3 linked regions of the Macaca fascicularis genome follow. Each later gene encodes a partner of the first gene's protein in a complex. Links are inferred from orthologs where the notes say so. Each region holds a gene or a part of one and is shown in the gene's direction. Other genes may lie near its edges. The genes, in order: TMEM67, AHI1 and TMEM107.

Region 1 (7,484 bases):
AATAAAGTGAAAGCAAGTTTGTTAAGAAAGTAAAGGAATAAAGAGTGGCTATTTCATAGGCAGAGCAATGGTATGGGCTGCTAGACTGAGTATATTTATGGTTATTCCTTGATCATATGCTAAACAAGGGATGGATTATTCATGAGTTTTCCAGGAAAAAGGTGGAGAGTTCCTGGAACAGAGTGTCCTCCCTTGTTAGACCATATAGGGTAACTTCTCTAAGTGGGCATGGCATGGGCAAACTGTCATGGTGCTGGTGGGAGTGTCTTTTAGCATGCTAATACATTATAATTAGCATATAATGAACAGTGAGGATGACCAGAGGTCGCTTTGGTCACCATCTTGGTTTTAGCAGGTTTCAGTCCTCTTCTTTACCTATCCTGTTTTATCAGCCAGGTCTTTATGACCTTATCCTGTGAAATCGGTCCTGCCAACCTCCTATCTCAAACTAACACAGGAAAGAAAATAAAATACTGTGTGTTCTCACTTATAAGTTGGAGCTAAACATTGGGTACAGATGGACACAAAGAAGGGAACAATAGATACTGGGTGCTACTCGAGGATGCAGGGTGAAAGGAGAGTACAGATCAAAAAACTACCTATTGGGTACTATGCTTATCACATGGGTAAGGAAATAATCTGTACCCCAAGCCCCCGAGACACTCAATTTACCTGTATAACAAACCTGCACATGTACTTCTGAACCTAAATTAAAGTTTAAAACAACAACAACAACAAACTGAAGAAAAGTATGGGCTCTGGTGTCAAATTAACAGGGTTAGAACCATGAATTAAGTGTGACCTTAGAGAGTCACTTATACTTTCAAAGCCTTGGTTATTTCATGTAAATTAAAGGTGATGATAACAGTCCCAATTTAGGATCAAATGAGATATTGCAATACCGGACACATTAAAAGTGTCTCCATGGGACTAGCCCAAACTGGGCCTACCCTGTTGATAACAAAATATCGTGTTACCTTTTAGATATAACAGAGCCAAAAACTGCAAGTCATGTAGCCCAGGCGTGTACAATAGAAAAAGCTTGGACCTCTAACAACACCCAAAACCAATGAATCCTTTCCTTGGAACCAAGAAGACCAGGACGTGACTGGAACCTGAACTTGGAACTCTTTCAAAAGTGATGGGTCCATTTGACTGGAGGATCGGGCCTAAAATCGGCCTCTACATACCTTTTTCTAAATGGTCAAATTTAAATCCTCCAATCAGCCTGCCAGGACACATTCATAAATCCTTTCCCTTGGCTTTCCAAGCCCATGAGTTTACCCCAGACGCCAAATCAGGGAGACAGATTTGAATGCACTCCTATATCCTTGCTGAATAGTTGTGCAAATAAAGCCTTTTTTTCCTCAAAAGCTTGTGCCACATAGTATTAGCTTCTGTGCGCACATTGGATACAGAGCTCATTTGCTTGATAACAAAAACAAGCTATTAATACCTATTATTTCTATTATTATTCACCCCCAGCGCCCCACCATGTTAAATATTCCTATAACTTTCATTTCTACCTTAAAATTTTATTTATCCAATAAGTTTTCGCTTAGAAGCTATCTGCCACAGGTATCTTCCTTTAATATCACAACCATCTACCCAGCCACCCAAATCAGAAACCTGTAAGTTATCCTTGATTCTGTTTCTTTACTTCCTATGTCCAAATCATAAAATTCTCATAATTCTTCTTCCTGAATAGCTCCTTTATTCATCCTCTCCTGCCTCTCCTTTCCTCCATGGCTCCAATTTAGACTCTAGATTTCTACCTTAGCCTCGCAAGTGGTCTCTAACTCTAAAAGTTTCCATATATTTGTCCAAGTTTGTTTTTTTTTTTTTTTTTTTTTTTTTTTTTTTTTTTTTTTTTGATACAGGGTCTCTGACATCCAGGCTGGAGTGCAGTGGCATGATCACAGCTTATTGCAGCCTTTGGGCTCATTGACCTCCTGGGCTGAAATGGTTCTCCCGCCTCAGCCTTCCAAGTAGCCGGGACCATAGGCATGTGCCACCCACCCAGCTAATTAAAATAAATTTTATTCGTAGAGATGGAGTCCCACTATGTTGCCCAGGCTGGTCTTGAATTCCTGGGCTCAGACAATCCTTCTGCGGTGGCCTCCCAAAATGTTAGGGTTAGAGGCGTGAGCCACAGCACCAGGCTTAGATTCTTTTATTCACAAGAGGTGTAAAGGTGATCTCATTTTATATACATGTCAACTAAAGAAAAAAATAAGGCTTTTAAAGACTCAAAGTTAGTTTTATTTGGAGTCTTACTGAGGAATGCAACACTGGGGAGTCGTTCAAAGAGTTTATGTTATACTGCTCCAAAGCAGCGGTTCTGCCCACAGTTTCTATTATCAAGGGATGGAGCTCTGCATGTGCTCAAAAGTTACACTAAACATGCTCAGAAGTTACACTGGAGCAAAATCTCATCAAAGTTTTGGTTGGAGAGTACATCTGATTATAGGTTACAGAGGCATAATCTTTAATCCTGTCAGACGTTATCTTACGTACAGAAAGAGGCAAGAGCTAGGATCACTGAACGTGTTTTTTTAGAAAATGAAGTGATTCAAGCAACAGTTGTGGAAACCTGTGCTCTATCCTCTTACTGTCTTCAGGGCATTCTTCTGGAGGACTGTGTTCAGTCACTGAATCAGGGGCTTTGTGAAATTCCGCTGGCAACAGAATGAGCAAACATGGTTTCTTCCGTTTCCTACTTTGTCTCACATACATGATTTCCTATGCTCAGACCTGGCAGGAAAAATTTTTTATTTTTCAGTGCTTAAGCTATAGTAATCCTTCACTAGGTTTTAAGTCAGTGGGTTTTTTTGACATCAAATTGTTAAACTACAAGTCACGTTTCCTTTAACGTGAAAATTACCTAGTCTGAATAAATTCTGATGTAAATATAACTCGACAAATTATGATATTTTCAACTTACGATGGGTTTATTGAGGGGAGGAGGCAGCCCTATCGTAAGTAGAGGAACTCTATACACTTTTGAAAATACCGCTGGGCTTCAGGGTTAGCCGGCCTCTAACCTACTCTTTACTGGACCTGCCAACTTCGCGCAGGGTTGGTAACCTAGCAACCAAGCAACACCAGCAGTGACTTCCGGTACCCAGACTTGGGTTGTCCAATCAGCTCAGCGGAGCTGCCGCAGAGGCTGATGGGGGACTGACGCCTGTGAGGCTGCCAGCGTCGGTACCATGGCGACGCGCGGTGGGGGCTGAGGTGGCAATGGCGGCTTGGTACCTCTTATCTGCCCGGGCCGTGACCGTGTTCCTCCTGTTGTCCCTCCCTCGCTTCTTACAGGCCCAGACCTTCTCTTTCCCTTTCCAGCAGCCAGAGAAGTGCGACAACAACCAGTACTTTGATATCTCCGCGCTCTCCTGTGTTCCGTGTGGAGTTAACCAGAGGCAGGATGCCCGAGGTAAGACGGTTTGAGGTGGGCCCTGGCAAAAGTAACACTCCCGCCTTGGTCGATCCCTAGTCCCTGGAGATGGAGTTTCATCATGTTGATCAGGCTAGTCTCGAACTTCTGACCTCAGGTGATCCACCCGCCTCCGCCTCCCAAAGTGCTGGGATTACAGGCGTGAGCCACCGCGCCTGGCCCGAATACATATATATTGTTTAGTGACGTAGAAATGTAAAATTTCCAGCAGCAGTTAAGTAGTTTAATAGTTTAGTTATACTTGCGCTTAAAATGGTAGCAACACAATACCAGCTGTGTGTGACAGTCTAAGACCTTTATGTATAATAACTGATTTTATACTCATACTAATACTATGAGGTAGGTACCGATTTTTTTTCTCCTTTTTATTGTAGAGGAAGCCAAGGCAGAGAGTTTAGTAACTTGTTCAAGGTCATGCAACCGAGTAGGAGTACTAAGATTGGAACTCAAGAAGTATGTTTCTGGATTTGAACCCGGCAGTACTGGCTCCAGAATCCTGCTGTTAATCACTATACTGCTTCTCAAGATCTTCAGACTTATTAAAAGTTTCACTATCTTGGAACTTTATTTTTATTTATCAAGGATAAAGTTGGCTTTTTTTTTTTTTTTTTTTTAGGAACTTCATGTGTATGTCTACCAGGATTTCAGATGATCTCTAATAATGGAGGACCTGCTGTTATTTGTAAAAAGTGCCCAGAAAACATGGTATGCATAATTTATTTTAAAATAACTTAACTGTAAAAGTAATAAGTTAAATATCTTTATTTTTCAAACTATAATGTAATGTTTAATGTTTCCCCACAAACTTTAAAATTACTATGCTAACTTTATTTTTACTAGAGTAAGTTTTGGGAAATCAGCGAAATTTTATGCAAACTTGGAGAAAACAGAAATGTATTTCTTTTAAAATCTGAAATCCCAAAAACCACAAAGCTGTAAAAATTTAAGTTTTTGTTTTTACTCATAGAATAACTCGATTATGAAGAAAATTAGATGAATAAGGAATATATAGAGCAGTTTGGGATGTGTGCAATTTGGGATGTGTATATTCTTTGACTGATGCAAATGGAGTTGTCTTAAACCTATCATGTCAACAGTTTATATGATGATTGATGTTCATAATGATATCTGAGGTGTAATTATTTCATGAAATACCAATTGCATTAATAAATAGGTTAAATAATGTCTGTTTCTGTTTTGTTAGTAATTTCATTATATCGTAATTTTTGAAAAATTAGTAGTTACTGTATATGATAATTCTCAATTAACAAATATATTTTTCAATCATGTTGGATAATTAAAAGTCTGTGTAACAGTCTGACATTTACAGTAATGTTTCTTCTCGTTGTCATATAAAAAATATTAATTCTGGGAATTTAATCTGAAGTTATCAATTGTCCTGATTTACAGCTATCTGTATTACTTGTAGGTGTGATTACCATTTTTTATATTACCATTTATTTTACATCTTTATAATAGATTACCATTTATTTTATATCTTTGCAGATGTTGATCCTACCTGAATTACCCATGATAAAATGCTGCTAAGCATTTTGTTTTTCAGTGACATTTTTTAAGTTATTGTAATCTTTAAATTGTCCTATATAGGCCGGGCATGGTGGCTCATGCCTGTAATCCCCGCAATTTGGGAGGCTGAGGCTGGTGGATCATGAGCTCGGGAGACCAGCCTGGCCAATATGGTGAAACCCTATCTCTACTAAAAATACAAAAATAAGCTGGGCATGGTGGCGTGTACCTGTAGTCCCAGCTGCTTGGGAGGCTGAGACAGGAGAATCACTTGAACCCAGGAGGCGGAGGTTACAGTGAGCCAAGATCGCACCATTGCACTCCAGCCTGGGTGACAAAGTGAGACTCTGTCTCAAAAAATAAATAAATAAATAAATAAATAAATAGTCCTATATAAATGTATTGCAAAATAGGAGTATTTCTTGATAAATTCAGTCTTTTCAACCAAAATTTAAAATAATTTGTGGCATTATTTTTGTTCTTTATGAACTTTGGGTACAACTGTGTTTGTAATTATTGTGTTTGTTGCCCCAGGCTTTTCCTAAACCATATAATATAATAAGCCCAATTTTGAATGCTGTCATACTTTATCAAAAACCTTTACCAGGCTGAGTGCAGTGGCTCATGCCTGTAATCCCAGCACTTTGAGAGGCCGAGGCAGGCGAATCACGAGGTCAGGAGATCAAGACCATCCTGGCAAACGTGGTGAAACCCCATGTCTACTAAAAATACAAAAATTAGCTGGACATGGTGGCATGTGCCTGTAGTCCCAGCTACTCGGGAGACTGAGGCAGGAGAATCCCTTGAACCCGGGAGGTGGAGCTTGCAGTGAGCCGAGATCGTGCCACTGCACTCCAGCCTGGTGACAGAGCGAAGACTGTCTCAAAAAAAAAAAAAAAGTGTACTAGTACAAGCCATAAATGGATAGAAGAAAATATTCTCATAAATCAATTTCAACAACTGTGTATAATTTATATTTCATAAAATTTACCCATTTTGAATCATAAATGAATTTTTTTTTTTTTTTTTGAGACAGAGTATTACTGTTGCCCAGGCTAGAGTACAGTGGCGTGATCTCAGCTCACTGCAACCTCCACCTTTCTGGTTCAAGCCATTCTGGTGCCTCAGCCTCCCAAGTAGGATTATAGGCATACACCACCACACCCAGCTAATTTTTGTATTTTTAGTAGAGACGAGGTTTCACCACGTTGGCCAGGCTAGCCTCAAACTTTTGGCCTCAAGTGATCCAACCACCTTGACTTCCCAAAGTGCTGAAATTACAGATGTGAGCCACCGTGCGTGGACTAAATTTTTTATGTATTTGAATTTTTTAAAATTAGAATAATGTTTTAGAATAGGTGAGATTAACCTATTAACTGACTATTGATTCAATCTTTTTGTGTTGTGTTGTGTTTTATATTTGTAAACAGAAAAAGTAAATGACAAATAATTATGAAAGTAGGCATCCATTTGAATTAAAGATCCTGAAGAAGAGAGAACTATTATCCACAGTTAATCCTTTAATAGTTGTCAGGACATAGTAATAATATAGAGCTTAATTTTGGAATATAAGCATGAATTATCTCTCCAGGGAATTTTTATGTGGCTCATATATGTATGATTTATTTGAATATTCACTGCAGTTACATACTCTTATGGCATTTTGAACTTACATGATTATGAAGAAGAAAGTTAATTAAAAAAGAGAAAAGCTTTTTTTTTTCTTTTAATTTAGAAAGGTGTTACAGAAGATGGCTGGAACTGCATTTCTTGCCCTAGTGGCTTAACTGCCGAAGGAAAATGCCACTGTCCCGCTGGCCATATTTTAGGTAAGAATTAGATTCCTTACAAAGAAGTAGTGATAAATCTTCATTTGTGTTTTTGTTTTTTGTTTTTTGAAAAGGGCATTAATTTAAATAGTTAAATGATTACTTAATATTTTTGTAGTGGTTCAAGCAATCCTCCTACCTCAGCTTCCTGAGTAGCTAGGACTGCACACATACACCACTGCAGCTGGCTAATTTTTAAATTTTTTGTAGAGACTGGGTCTTGTTATGTTGCCTAGCCTGGTCTTGAACTCCTGGCCTCGAGAGATCTTCCTGCCTCACCTCCTAAAGTGCTGGGATTATAGGCATCAGTCACTGTGTCCAGCCCTTAATAGTGTTTATAAAAATTATTTTTGTACAAATTTAGTGATACTTAAGACATCAGCAGGCATTGAGAAGAAAATACAGAGTTTTGTCTGAGTTTTTTGAAACTCTTAATTGTGTAGGATTAGATGGTTACTTCTTTAACATAACATGATAAAATATGTATGTCTCAACTCAAAAACCAAGTTGATGCTTAATAGGCAAAAAGTGTAAGCATTCCTATTAATGTCAGGACCTGGAAAAGGGTGCAAACTGTGCACTTAAGTAAGAGAAAAAAAATATTTATCACTGGAAAAGAAAAGGTAGGCCGTTAATCCCAACATTTTGGAAGGCCAAGGCAGGTGTATTGT
Region 2 (7,250 bases), on another chromosome or scaffold:
ACATTCATTACATATAGTTGGCATTTTTATGTAAGGAAGAGCTTTTCTTTATCCTGATTTTTCAAAAAAATCGTTTATTCATTTTAGTATGGGCTCAAATCTTCCTATTTTATTCAGCGGACTATAATCCATTAACATTATATTGGTGCTCAGATTGACCCAGATGTGGCCAATGGGGGCTCCTTCACGCTGGCTTTGTGCCCTTTTGATATGTTTCTTTCTTCTGTGTTCACTTCCTTAATTTCCGGTGCAACAAGATTTTTCAGGCTCCTATTCTAAAATCAACCATTTCTCCAAGGGACCCAGTTACTTTTAGTGAATAATAGTGTTCAGAAACCAAGATTTAGGCACATGTGCTCATTGCTTCTAGCATACCATTATTCTGAAACCTTTTCAGCAGATAGAGCTAGGAAGAGCATAATAGATAGATATGCACACACCTATACAAACTTTCCTCTATATTTATTTCTACATATGTTTATGTATATATTGAAAACTATAGGTTTACACCGACATATTCAATTCCAATCCAACATCACCACAAAGGTCATTGTGGAATTCCTCCTCTCTCAATTTGTAACTTCCTTCTCTGTCAGTGAGAAACCTGGCTCCCATTAGACCCAACATATTTATTTCCTCACTCTCCTTTCATGCTTGCCACCTCTTTACTTGCCAAGGGGAAGGCGAAACAGCTGGTCATCGTTTTTTATTATTTCTTATCATTCATTCTTCCATCCAATTAATCACTAAGTCCTGACATTTTTACCTCCTAAAAATTTCTCGAACTGATCCATTTCTCTCCATTCTGATTTTTCTTAGCCTTGACCATACCACCTTTGTCTCTTACATGGCTTACAGCAACGCCATCTTAAATGGTATTCCCGGATCTAGATTTGCTTCCTTCCTGTCTGTTCTCCACCCTGCAGTCAGTGTTATCTTTATGATATTAAAATTTGAGAATTTCACTCCATAAAATTCTACAGTGGTATTGCATTGACCAATACTGTCTGGGTCTCTTCACGGCCTGTTTAACTATCTTGTTTTGTTTCCTCCAAAAGACCCTAGACTCATTCTCTACCTTTTAGTTAGCCAACTTGAACTTTTTTTTTTTTTTTTTAGTTCTGTATTATACCAAACTTTCTTTTAGTGAACACTATACGCCACCTTCTTCTACCTGGAAACCCTTCCTAACCTGGACAACTCTACACATTATTTTGGTTTTTGCTTAAATGTCACTTCTGCTACAAAATATTCCCTGACCTCCCCACCCCACTGCACCTCTGCATGCTAAGAAGCAAGAGATGATAACAGGGTTACACATCCGCAAGTCTGGGAATCGTATTCTGAAACTAAAACCCTACTAAGAATGAGCAGCCAGAGTCATAACTTCCCTTTGGAAAAGCGGGTACTTAAATGCAGTTGTGAGGACAAATGAAAACTACATAAAACACCTACAATGCATAGCTCCTAGAAGGAGCTCAATATATGTTATCCATTATTCATTCAACAAATGTTCATGAAATGCCAACTATTTCATAGATACTGTGGTAGATACTGGGGATAGAAAAAATACAATGTAAACTATGAAAATATAGAATGAGTATGTAAAGTCTAATATACGGAATGAATATCCAAAATCTAATAAGGAGTAGGAGTATTTGAAGGAGTCAGTCAACCTGCTTAAGATTCGAAGGATGGACAACATTTGACTGTGATATGCAGTAGTGTAAAAGGAGGAATTTTCAGGAAGAGAGAACAATATGTGTAAGGACAGGGCGTGCAAGGCTATGGATTGTTTTTCATAGTACACATAATTCAATGTTGCACAAAACTGCATGATACACATGATTCAATATTGCATAAAATTGGAACAATAAGCTAACGAGAGATGAAATTAGTCAGGGAGATGGAGCATCTTGTATCCTAGGCAAAGCAATCATTTTCTCTTACACGTTGCCTTTCAAGAATTTTCAGCAAGAGAGAGCCATTATCCGATTTACATTTTTAGTCAGGACATTCTGATAGCAGTGTGGGGAATTTTAAGAGTCAAAACTGGAGTCACAGGACTGGTAAAGCGCCCACCTGAGGAATTTAAAAAGAGAGAATGAATATGCTTTGGTATAAGATGCATTTAGGATACTCTACAGTTCTTACTAAAACACTGGGAGCAAGTGTTTGACACTTGATAGTGCAAGATTACAGCAAGATAGTGGTGGCTTACAGCAAGATAGAAATCTAGGAGAGTAGGTTTAGAATGCAAAGTTGAACAGCTCAGTTTGGTACACAGCGGATTAGTAATCTTTCTCGTTGCTTCCTCAAAGGATTTAGGGAAGCACATGGCATAGAGATATAGTTTGTAAGGTGTGGCAATGCCAGTGAGAATGGAAAAGCTGGCCTCCGTAAACTCTCTCTCTGTACAAACGAAGCAACAGGTTACAGCGCGTGGCTGTAGGTACAGGAAATGGCGTGTATTCATGAGTCCACGAGTAGCGCAACTAGTATTTTTCCAGCCCTGGTGACTCAGAGCTGAAGATGGCGCCTGCGGCAGAAATCAGAAAAGTGGGAGGGAGCATTAGGTACAGAAAAGTATGGCGTTTTAACTTTTGTTTTCCACACACAGGGAGATAGCTCTAAAGGAATCGTGCATAATTTTTTCTTAAGATTTTGTCTGTAGTACAACTTCATTTTCCACGCTTTAAAATCATGTTTTCTTTTGTGGGCGCGACCGCGTGGGGAGTGACAAATCTGTTTCTTTGCCTCATTCATTGATTTTCTTATTTTGGGCGACTTCCATAACAGCCTCCCCAGTTTTCCTTTGCCCCGTCAGTTTTTCCCTGCGCTTGCTACAATTCTAAGGCGGAAAGAGTATTTTTGGAGGTGAGGGCGGGGAAGACTCAAGCTCTGTGGGAGCACCCGCGCATTTCCGACTCCCTTCCCGCTCGCACGGCCTCGGAGGCTGGAGGCCGGTAAGGTCCCCGAAGCGCGCGCCCACCAACAGCCTGAGGGCCCCGGTGCAGGCGCCGCGCGGCCCCTTCTCCCGGGCTGAGGCGAAGGCGGTGGCGGCGCGGGGACGGGGGCGGGGGCGGGGCCGCGGTCCGGGCCTAGCGCGCGAGACGCGTCGGTCGCCATGGGAACGGCGGTGTAGGCAGGCGCTGACGTCAGCAGGCCGCGAGTCGTCCGCACTGCGGCACAGAGCAGTGGCTTGCTCTCCGAACCCGGGTCGCTGGCGGGTAAGGTGGCTTCGTGGCCGCCTCACTTAGCGCCCGCGCCGCTGGGCGCGGGGGAGTCGATTTGCACTGTTCCGGGTGTCGGCTTGGGCGGGACGGACGGTTCTGCCTACTCCTCCTCTCCGTAAGTACCTCGTGGGTTCGCTGGTGGCGGGAGCGCGGGCCGGGGTGCTGGGCCTGCCCGGCCCTCTCCGGGGCGGCGTGTCGGGGCTGCTGGAGTCCGAGAGCGCGGGGGCTGATCGCGGATTGACCGGGGAGCGTGGGCCGGGTGTCCCGGAGGAATGCGATTTCCCGGAGTCCTCAACGTACTTTTCCGCTTCTTTCACTGGTCTCGGTGTCTCCGGAGAGTTGAGCATGGTGTTCTGATAGGGAATTCAATCTTTGCCTTTCCTACTCCCGATTCTTGTTTAAATGCTTTTAAATCAGATGCGTACTGAGTGTGTTTATTTCCTTTTAGAGTGTCATCCTGGGGCTGAATCTTCAACCTGTCAAAGCCTACTTAATTACGTCTGAGAAAAGGTGATCAATTTGTTAAACTTATAAGAGCCAGATTATATTAATAGGGTTGTTTCGAGATGCATAAAAATAGAATAAAAATGTAGACCATTTAAGCATCCTTATCAAAGGTTGTGCTGCGTTTGGCATTCCTGTGAAAACATCTAATGTGAAAATAAAGTTTTTCCCTTTTGAGAAAGAGATGCCAACAGTTTTTTCACCTGTTGCATTAGCAGTTACTGTTATTGCTTGGGTTAGGAGGAAGATTGCTTCTTATGAGTACTCTGGGAAATTTTTTAAAGAATGCTTGAAAAAATTAAAATACCAAAAGTGTTATTAAACCATACTTAGAATCTTGTTTATGAAGAATAATATTTATGAAGTTAGAATCTTGTGTACTTATGAAGAATCTTGTTGATCTATTCATTGAATTTTGTGTACAGGATTTTTGTTTGTCTTTTTTTCCCTTGCGATAACATTTGGTTAAAGAGGGAATTATCAAGCCTCTCAATTTTTTCTCCCATTGATATTGAGTCACATATTGGCTGATAATCAGGTGGTCTGTAAAATAAAATGAGATGAGGTGTAATCCATTTAATTTTCCTACATAGTATCTCTTAGAAGCTCCTGTGAAAGGGTTTGTGAGGGAGAAGTTGTAAAATAATGGAATATATAAGATTCGGAGGTGTCTTTTAAAGTCCGACCTGAATTTTCGCAGATAATGTTACTAATTAAATATTAGTCATTAATTCTATCATATGTTTGCTGTAGTACACATTAAGATTTAGAGATGGCTGGGCACAGTGGATCAGGCCTGTAATCCTAGCACTTTGGGAGGATCAAGAGTGGGTGGATCACTTGAGGTCAGGAGTTCAGTATCCGCCTGGCTAATGTTGGTGAAAACCCATCTCTACTAAAAATACAACAATTAGCCGGGCGTGGTGGCGCACACCTGTAGTCCCAGCTGCTAGGGAGGTTGAGGCAGGGGAATTGCTTGAACCCAGGAGGCGGAGGCAGCAGTGAGCTGAGATTGTGCCACTGCACTCCAACCTGGGCAACAGAGCAAGACTTTGTCTCCAAAAAAAAAAAAAATTAGAGATTATTTCTATAATGTATTTGCTGTGTTATTAAATAATATTAGTATTTATTCAGTTGTGTATTAAGCTATTAACAGTAAATAATTCTATGATTTCTGTATTTTATTAATAATTACTTATTTTTAATACAATAATACTGGACATAAAGTAATTTTATTGCAGTGTACTCATTACTTTGCTTTTTGGTATTTTCTCCTTGCAGTACTAAAACAGGTGCCATTTTAAATTCCCAGACAAGGAAAAACCAAGGATTAGAAATTAAGTAGCTTACCCAATGCCACACATCAGTAAGTGGTGACACTGGAGGTCAAACCTGAGTCTTTTTTACTCTAGGACCGTTGCTACTGCTTCGCTTTGCTTTGCTTCTCGTGTTTTCTCTTCTCTCTCCTCTTTTCTTTCATAGTGCCAGATACATAACTATAGAGAGCATTGGCGTGGCCTCCAAAGCTAGCAGTTTGGTGGGAGACAGAACATTTAACCAGGATGAAAATTCAGGGCTGAGGTAGAGGGAGTTACAAAGATTCAGGCATCCTGGGAGCACAGAAGAGAAGTGCTTCACTGCCCTTCAAGGTGCGAATGCTCTCTAGAGAAGATACTTGCCTTCAAAGGATAATGAGGAGTTTGTTAGAGTGACAAAGGAGGAAGGACATTTTTCAGGAGAGGGGATATATGTGTAATGATACAAAAGCAAGAGAGGACGTGGCACATGTGAAGGCCTGGAGGTAGTTTCACATGGCTGGAACACAGCGTATGGTGTGAAGGGGACATTTCATAAATGGCCTTGGACCTCAATGGTAAGGACTTGATATTTTTTTCAGTGTGTGATTGGGAGCTAGGGAAGAATTTTAAGCAAAGAAATGACACCGTCACATTTGAATTTTAGAAAATTACACTGATTGCTGTATAGATGATGATTTATTTTTTAAAAGGGTAAGGTGATAGTGGCATGGAAACAATCTTAAAACAAACAGCATAATCCTTCCACAGTGTTTTTGTCCCAGAGTTACTGTCTCATGTCACTGCCTTTAGGGGTGGTGGAAAGACAGTTGGAAGAATTCTGTAAAGAATTGTCTACATGTCCCTTCTACAGGGGTCACCTTCCATTCACCCCTCAGCCCCAGCCTGCTAGGTTTCTGCCCCTCCATAAACAGCTTTGACACACGTGACTTCCTTCTTGCAGATTCAGTGGACTTTCTTCAAAACCTCCAGCCCCTTTTGATGCCACACAGTATATAGGCTACATCTCCTTTAAAACTCTTTCCTTCTGTAATGCTTCTGTCTCCCAGTTTTTTACCTGTCTCCCTGATTTTACTTTATATTGTGGGCTCTCAGGATTCTCATTGGCTTTTTATTTTCTTGCAACTATCATATTTATAAATAACTCCCAAATCTTCAGCCTAGGGTCTCCCTGCTGGATTAATAGATTGCCTAATAAACATAATATGATTATATACATAAACACAGACACACACATGTGACAGTAATAACAATTGTTCTTTTTGAAGGGTTTGCCATGTGCTAGGCATTGTGCCAAGTATTTTACTTGCATGTTCTCATTTAATCTTTGTAAAAACACTGAGTGATTTATTATTGTGAAAGATTAGGAAACTGATGTCCCTAGAGATGAATCTGCTGGCAGGTAGAACTGGTATTTGGATCCAAGGATCTGACAATGGAAGCTGATGCTTGTAGCTGCTCAGTGCCCTTCAGATACCCAACTCAACATGACCCACACTAAGCTTAGTGACTGCACCCTAGCAAGTACCTGTTATAATTATAGCTAACATTTATTGTTGCTGCTTCTGTCTGAGATACTGTTGTAAATCATTTAACCCTTACAACAACCCTTTGAGTCGGCACTGGTAGAGTGTTTTTACAGATGAGGAAGCAAAAGTCACACAAGTGACTATGGAAACTAATTCTAGGACATGGATTTTAAACTACTCTCCTGTACTGCATTATATTACAGTTTAATGGTACTACTAACCTACTATTCTAGTTCTAGAAACATGGGAATCACCTCCGATTCTTTCTCCTGCCTCTTCATTAGTTATTTAATCTTTCCAAAATATTATCTGACTCCCATCACCCAGGCTGGAGCACACTGGTGCAGTCTCGGCTCACTGCAACCTCCACATCCCAGGTTCAAGCGGTTCTCCTGCCTCAGCCTCCCCAGTAGCTCCACACCTAACTAGTTTTTGTATTTTTAGTAGAGATGGGGTTTTACCATGTTGGCCAGACAGGACTCAAACTCCTGATCTCAAGTGATCTGCCTGCCTCATCCTCCCAAAGTATTGGGATTACAGGCATGAATCACCATGCCCAGCAGGCTTTTTTTTTGATGAATCATAGTCATAATATTGTTCAGCTTTTTCCCTGCCTATTAGATGACCGTCAAGTAGTATAAATATTAAATTTTTGTTTGTTTTAT
Region 3 (7,126 bases), on another chromosome or scaffold:
AGTCTCGCTCTGTCGTCCAGGTTGGAGTGCAGTGGCAAGATCTCAGCTCATTGTAACATCCGCCTCCTGGGTTCAGATGATTCTCCTGCCTCAGTCTCCCGAGTAGCTGGGAATACAGACACATGCCACCACGCCCAGCTAATTTTTTTTTTTTTGTATTTTTAATAGAGACGGGGTTTCACCATGTTGGTCACGCTGGTCTCAAACTCCTGACCTCAGGTGACCTGCCCGCCTCTGCCTCCCAAAGTGCTGGGATTACAGGCGTGAGCCACCACTCCAGGCCTTTATTATTGTTTTATTAGAGAGAGGTGTCTCACTATGTTGCTCAGACTGGCTTCAAACTCTTGGGTTCAAGGAATACTTCCGCCTTGGCCTCCTAAAGTGCTGGGATTACAGGCATGAGCTTTCGCTTCTGGTCCCAGAGTGCATTTTCTTTTTCTTCCTTTTTTTTTTTTTTGAGACTAAGTCTTGCTCTGTTTCCCAGGCGGGAGTGCAGTGGCACGATCTTGGCTCACTGCAACCTCCGCCTCCCGAGTTCAAGCAATTCTCCTTCCCTCAGCCTCCTGAATAGCTGGGATTACAGGCGCGCGCCACCATACCCGGCTTTTTTTTTTTTTTCAGTAGAGATGGGGTTTCACCATGTTGGCCAGGCTGGTCTGAAACTCCTGCCCTCAGGTGATCTCCCTGCCTCGGTCTCCCAAAGTGCGGGGATTATATGCGCGAACCACCACTCCCGGTCAATTTCTGGCCAAAGTTTCTAAAATAAAGTTTAAGAATAAATGCCCTATTTTTATAGAATTATAAATGCCCTACTTTTATAGAATTATAATTCTAGCGTTTCCTTTTTTTTTTTTTTTTTTTTTTTTGAGACGGAGTTGTGCTCTTGTTGCAGAGGCTGGAGTGCAATGGCACGGCTCACTGCAACCTCCACCTCCCGGGTTCAAGCGATTCCACTGCCTTAGTAGCTAATCGAGTAGTAGTAATCGAGTAGCTGGGATTACAGGCACGCGCCACCACATCCGGCTAATTTTGTATTTTTAGTGGAGATGGGGTTTCAGCATGTTGGTCAGGCTTGTCTCGAACTCCTGACCTCAGATGATCCGCCCTCCTGGGCCTCCCAAAGCGCTGGGATTACAGGCGTGAGCCACTGTGCCTGGCCCGCGTATCCCTGTTTGTAGCACCTATTATCTTACGGATTTATTTGTTTGCATGTCTGTTGTTGATCTCCCTGACTAGAATACTATTACTAGGTAATAAATAAATATATAAAAATATTTGTTGAAGGAATGAGAAATGCCTCTTGGGCTTGTACTTTAGTCTGGCTAAAGGCACTGAGACGTCGAGTGGGAAGTAGGAAGATATTGTTCTCCTGGGAAATGGGCCGGGAGTTTCCTTGAGGATGGGACTTGACTGAGCAATTAGAGAAGAACTTTCAGATCTGCAGGGACCTGCGCTGAGGCCCAAAGGTCATGACGTCGCCGGTGATAAGAGCTTCCTGGACTGTAGCTGGGCAATGTCGGAGGTCCAGCACCTCCAAGAGATAAAGAAATCTAAGTTGAGTTTCCCTTCCCGTAGGCTCCAAGCCTCCCAGAGACGCAGGGACTGTACCATTCCCTTCGTCCACTCCCACCTTTCCAGCCACCTTGCTTTGCTCTTATTCCCACGCTAGTTTAAGGACGCGGACCACTTTTTGCACTCTGCAAATCCTTCACCAAACTGAGCAAAGTAGTCTGAGAGAAATCAGTCTTCCTCAAGGAAGGTTCAGGCCTAGGGTCCTCAGACAACCAGGGGCTCTGTGACAATCTGTAACTGCCGAGCAGTCCAGGAACACCGGCCTCTCCACGTTCGGGTCCCTTGTTTCTCAGGCCCAGCTTGGTGGGAAGTTAAAGGCATGAGGAGAGGAGGAAGGGGAGCGGGTGTGAGTCTTCGGCATGGCGGGGACCTCAGCCCGGCGTGGCGGTGGGAGTGATCTCAAGTGATCCACAACTGGGCAGCGTAGCTGGGGCTGGGGGCCGCTCCCGGCGTGGGCAACCGCGGAAGCAGAGGTGTCCCCAGGCTAGGCCAGGGTGGGTTTCCGTTCGTCGGCCCTGCGTGGGCAGATCGGGCGCTGCGCGGCTGTGCCACCCCTCACCCTCTGAGAAACAAAGGGCCTGGCTGCGCACGGGTACCCAGCCATTGGGTTAGAAGCTCCTTCGGGTACCCCTGACCTGAGTTAGCCCTGAAAGACCCACAGCAGATGGAGAATGTACTGCTCTCGCGAGGTTTTCCGAGAACGCGGCAGCACGCCCGCGTACGCGGTTACCAAGGCAACTGGGCGGTGCCTGAGCTGGCGGAAAGGAGGAGTTCGTCTAGATTTGTCCGCTTGCTGGTGGACTTGCGGGAGTCGCAGTCTCTGAACTTCCAGCCTCAGAGACCGCCGCTCTTGTTCCCAAGGGCCATGGGCCGGGTCTCAGGGCTTGTGCCCTCTCGCTTCCTGACGATCCTGGCGCATCTGGTGGTCGTCATCACCTTATTCTGGTCCCGGGTAAGACCCACGGCTGCCCTCCGTCCGCCCCCATTCCCATCTCGGAGTCGTCCCCGCCCCACCCTGCCCCTCTCCCAGTGTCTTACCCACTTGGGTTTTCTCGTGTTCCGCCGTCCCTAGGCCTGCCCAGCAGCCTGCCCCTTTTTCACTTCTCTTCCTCTCTGCCCTGCTCCCAGGACAGCAACATTCAGGCCTGCCTGCCTCTCAGGTTCACCCCCGAGGAGTATGACAAGCAGGACATTCAGTGAGCTCTTAGGACGGGGTGGCCAGAACGAAGAGGTGGTGGGAGTGGAGGGGTCTTAGAAGAAGTCCAAAGGCCTGAGCCAGTCCACTTCCTCTCTGCAGGCTGGTGGCCGCGCTTTCTGTCACCCTGGGCCTCTTTGCAGTGGAGCTGGCCGGTTTCCTCTCAGGAGTCTCCATGTTCAACAGCACCCAGAGCCTCATCTGTATCCTTTCTGCCTGCCCACCTTTCCCACACGACCCATTTCTATCAGGACTCCCTTCAGCCACCTGACACAATAGTGTCTGCTGTAGCCAGTCTCTCCAGTTCAAAGATCTTCAACCATGTGCTAAATCCTGCTGTTTACTAGGCACTTAAAATTCCGAAATGAGAGTAAAATACAGTTTTTGGCCAGGCACGTTGGCTCACGTCTGTAATCCCAGCACTGTGGGAGGCCCGCGCAGGAGGCAACATAGTTAGACCCCGTGTCTACAAAATAAATAGTAATAATAAAAACTCCACTTTTTTTTTTTTTAACCATGAGGAGGAGGTAGATACACATCTGTAATTCAGTGTGATAAGCAGTGTGCTATGGGAGTGTGTAAAGATAGCACAGGCAGGGTGCGATGGCTCATGCCTGTAATGCCAGCACTTTGGGAGACCGAGGCAGGTGGATCACCTGAGGTCAGGAGTTCAAGACCAGCCTGACCAACATAGTGAAACCCTGTCTGTACTAAAAATACAGAAATTAGTCGGGCGTGGCGGTGCACTCCTGTAATCCCAGCTACTCAGGAGGCTGAGGAAGGAGAATTGCTTGAACCCAGGAGGCAGAGGTTGCAGTGAGCTGAGATCGTGCCACTGCACTCCAGCCTGGGCGACAGAGCAAGACTCTGGCAAAAAACGAAAGATATAAAGCACATTGGGAACTCAGAAGAGGCAACGGAAGCCAGGCACATGGGTCAGAGAATTGTGGACCAGGAGGACCAGGACACTGGAGGCTGATTCCAGCGCATATCAAGTCGCTGTCAGCACTCCTGTGTGGCATAGCAGGAGAGCCTACTCTTACCTCTCATCTGAAGGATCCAGGCTGGCCCCTAGATATGGAGTAGGGTAGCCTGAGATCCCATCTGCGCAGTCACTTCTGGTCTCTCCTCACATGACTGTCCTAAAATTCAGAAGTCGGGGATGCTGACTCTAGCCCTTGCAATATGGTGAGGGAGCAAACGATGAACCTGAATGCAGATGCCAACCCCACCACTGGCCTTTGGCCTTTTCTGACCCCTCACTATCTGTCGATCCAAAGACTTTCCTTAACTCTGGTGCCTTCCCAAGCCATTGGGGCTCACTGTAGTGCATCCGTGGCCCTGTCCTTCTTCATATTCGAGCGTTGGGAGTGCACTACGTATTGGTACATTTTTGTCTTCTGCAGGTGTGGTAGCATCCAATATTCGGGAATGAGGGAGGAAGGCTGACCCTAAACCTGAGGGTTTTTCCCCCACCCAGCCCTTTCCTCTATGTGTGAGATACCAGATCCACTTAACATCCTGTAGTCTTTTGAATTTTCATTCCCTACCCCATGCCACCTGTCCTACACTTTCAGGGGTGGGGTCTCTGGTTTGGAGATTTGGGTATTTATATTGAAAGGGTTTCTGAATTTACCACTTGCCTCGGTAGTGCCCTTCCAGCTGTCACTGAAATGACTTTATTCGTCACCGTCTTTGGGCTGAAAAAGAAACCTTTCTGAGCACCTTCATGACGGGAACCTAAGGACGAAGGCTACAGGGGCAAGGGCCGCTTCGTATTCCTGGAAGAAGGAAGGCATAGGCTTCGGTCCTCCCCTCGGAAACTGCTTCTGCTGGAGGATATGTGTTGGAATAATTACGTCTTGAGTCTGGGATTATCCGCATTGTATTTAGTGGTTTGTAATAAAATATGTTTTGTAGTAAGATTAAGACATATACAGTTTTCAAGGCACAATTGAGATGGCGAAACTACTGAAGAAAAAAAAAGAAGCAACGTTATTTTCTAGTTCTGCAGACCGTAAGATACTTGGTATCGCTTCTATTTTGGTTATTACGGTAGTTGTCTGGCGGAAGGGAGTGGGCGGAGATATGTAAATAGAAAGTGCTTACAGTTAGAACGTCCAGCACGTAAATGATCGGAGCATTCTGGGAAAAAGAAATGTATTCCTTTTCGGCAGCCGAATGAAAAAATTCTTTTAAAAATGTGCAAGCAAATATGGCAATACAACTGGAAGGATGCTAAGTAGTAGGGTTACTCATACCAACGCGTCGTGAACTCACCCTAGCTGTAAACGGAATCTTTTTGACTGAGTGCGGAATGTCGGCTCTTTAGAAATATCGTCAGGTGGGATAATCCTTACCTGTTCCTCTTTTGGAGGGCAGATGAGAACATGATGATTGGAGAATGCATGAAACGTGATTAACGTCTCTGCGTAATCAGGACTTGCAACACCCTGATTGCTCCTATCTGATTCTTCCTGACGATCACTTACGTTTCTGTTATGTTGATTGTAAGTTTAGTTAATGTAGTTATCATGCGGTGCAGGGAATAGTTTCTGTATTTCGCTATTTTGTGATCTCGCCAAATTTTATCTGGTTTTGAAAATTGTGAGTTGTATTTGTTGCTTACTGGGACTTAGGAGGTAGGATTGTGCAAATGGACTCCCGTTGTTCTTTGTCGTTTGATACTTTGACGCTTCACCTCTTCTCAGGAAACACTGCACATCAGTAAAAATCTGTAATCTAGTGCACAGGATGGATGATACTCATTCAATAGGAACGGGTTTTTTTTTTGTTTTGTTTTGTTTTGTTTTGTTTTTGAGGCAGGGTCTTGGTCTGTCGCCAGGGCTGGAGTGCACTGCACTGATCTCGGCTCACTGTAACCTCTGCCTCCCAGGTTCAGGAGATTATCCTGCCTCAGCCTCCCAAGTAGCTGGGATTATAGGCAGGTGCCACGATGCCCGGCTATTTTTTGTATTTTTAGTAGAGACTGGGTTTCACCATGTGGGCCAGCCTGGTCTTGAACTCCTGACCTCAGGTGATCTGCCCTGATGATCGCCCTCAGGTGATCAGCCTCCCAAAGTGCTGGAATTACAGGCGTGAGCCACCACGTCTGGCCTTTTTATTTGTAAATTTTGTGCTATCCATACTTTATACCAGTACAATTTATCATACACTTATGTATATACATGGATACATTTGTTTTTGGAGAGTTGGTTGTTAAAAATCTACCAGTACACCCCCAAGAAACTGATCATCGCCAATGACTTCTGCTTCCCAAATCCAGAGTCACTTTTCAGACTTGAGTTTGAGTTTGACCTCTCTTCAGCATATGGTACGTTGACCACCCCCTCTTTTTTTTTTTTTTTTTTTTTTAGACAGTCTTACTCTGCTGCCCAGGCTAGAGTGTAGTGTGCAGTGGTGGGATCATAGCTCACTGCAGCCTCGAACTCCCAGGCTCAGATGATCCTCCTGCCTCAGCCTCCCAAGTAGCTGGGACTATATGTGAGCACCACCACACCTGGTTAAGTTTTAACATTTTCTATAGAGACAGGGTCTCACTGTGTTGCCCAGGCTGGTTCCAAACTCCTGGGCTCAAGCCATCCTCCCCACTAGGCCTCCGAAAGTGCTAGGATTACAGGCATGAGCCACCGCATTTGGCCCACTCCTCTCTTTTGCACTTTTTTCTCCCTTAGTTTTGAAACAGTGGTTCCCCTGGTTTGCCTACTACTGTACTGTTCTGGTTGTTCCTTTTTACGTTCATTCAATGAATACTTAGAGTACCTGCAGTGTGTCAGTTACTGGGGACATAATACTGGGTTGTCTCCTCTGCTTGCCCCAAAATTGCTGGTGATCACTACTCCTCGGGTCACTTCATCCATCTCTTGTTTTCAAACATCAACTAGATGCTGCTGGTTTCCAGATCTCAGCTCGCTTATGTGAGCCCTAGCCCAGGGCCAGGACTATAGGAATAACCTCTGCAGCCAGACTGCCTGCCGGGGTCCCAGTGCGGTTTTTTCTCTTATCAGGAGGTCACTTGCCCTCTCTCTGCCTCAGTTCCCTCATCCACACTCATAATTTTTTTTTTTTTTTTTTGAGATGGAGTCTTGTTCTGTCGCCCAGGCTGGGGTGCAGTGGCGCGATCTGCAACCTCCGCCTCCCTGGTTCAAGCGATTCTCCTGCCTCAGCCTCCCGAGTAGCTGGGATTACAAGTGCCAGCCCCTGCACCCTCCTAAATTTTGTATTTTTAGCAGAGATGGGGTTTCGCCATGTTGGCCAGGCTGGTCTCGAACTCCTGACCTTGTGATCCACCTGCCTCGGCCTTCCAAAGTGCTGGGATTACACCGCGCCCGGCCACAC

The links.
Region 2: TMEM67 (region 1) and AHI1 share a complex: the UniProt entries of both Homo sapiens proteins name them as parts of the tectonic-like complex. The link is inferred for Macaca fascicularis from reciprocal best matches to the Homo sapiens genes TMEM67 and AHI1.
Region 3: TMEM67 (region 1) and TMEM107 share a complex: the UniProt entries of both Homo sapiens proteins name them as parts of the tectonic-like complex. The link is inferred for Macaca fascicularis from reciprocal best matches to the Homo sapiens genes TMEM67 and TMEM107.

What each region holds. Positions count from the first base shown.
Region 1 is NC_088382.1:103,402,285-103,409,768, forward strand, and holds the start of TMEM67 (meckelin), read left to right. Parts: upstream 1-3,227; 5' UTR 3,228-3,243; coding exon 3,244-3,436; intron 3,437-4,073; coding exon 4,074-4,162; intron 4,163-6,719; coding exon 6,720-6,813; intron 6,814-7,484. UniProt on the Homo sapiens protein: Required for ciliary structure and function. Part of the tectonic-like complex which is required for tissue-specific ciliogenesis and may regulate ciliary membrane composition.
Region 2 is NC_088378.1:39,535,924-39,543,173, reverse strand, and holds the start of AHI1 (jouberin), read left to right. Parts: upstream 1-3,168; 5' UTR 3,169-3,351; intron 3,352-3,684; 5' UTR 3,685-3,746; intron 3,747-5,222; 5' UTR 5,223-5,613; intron 5,614-7,250. UniProt on the Homo sapiens protein: Involved in vesicle trafficking and required for ciliogenesis, formation of primary non-motile cilium, and recruitment of RAB8A to the basal body of primary cilium.
Region 3 is NC_088390.1:8,259,403-8,266,528, reverse strand, and holds TMEM107 (transmembrane protein 107), read left to right. Parts: upstream 1-2,312; 5' UTR 2,313-2,437; coding exon 2,438-2,524; intron 2,525-2,700; coding exon 2,701-2,768; intron 2,769-2,851; coding exon 2,852-2,970; intron 2,971-3,810; exon of another isoform or gene 3,811-3,909; intron 3,910-4,076; coding exon 4,077-4,173; intron 4,174-4,418; coding exon 4,419-4,488; 3' UTR 4,489-4,690; downstream 4,691-7,126. UniProt on the Homo sapiens protein: Plays a role in cilia formation and embryonic patterning. Requires for normal Sonic hedgehog (Shh) signaling in the neural tube and acts in combination with GLI2 and GLI3 to pattern ventral and intermediate neuronal cell types.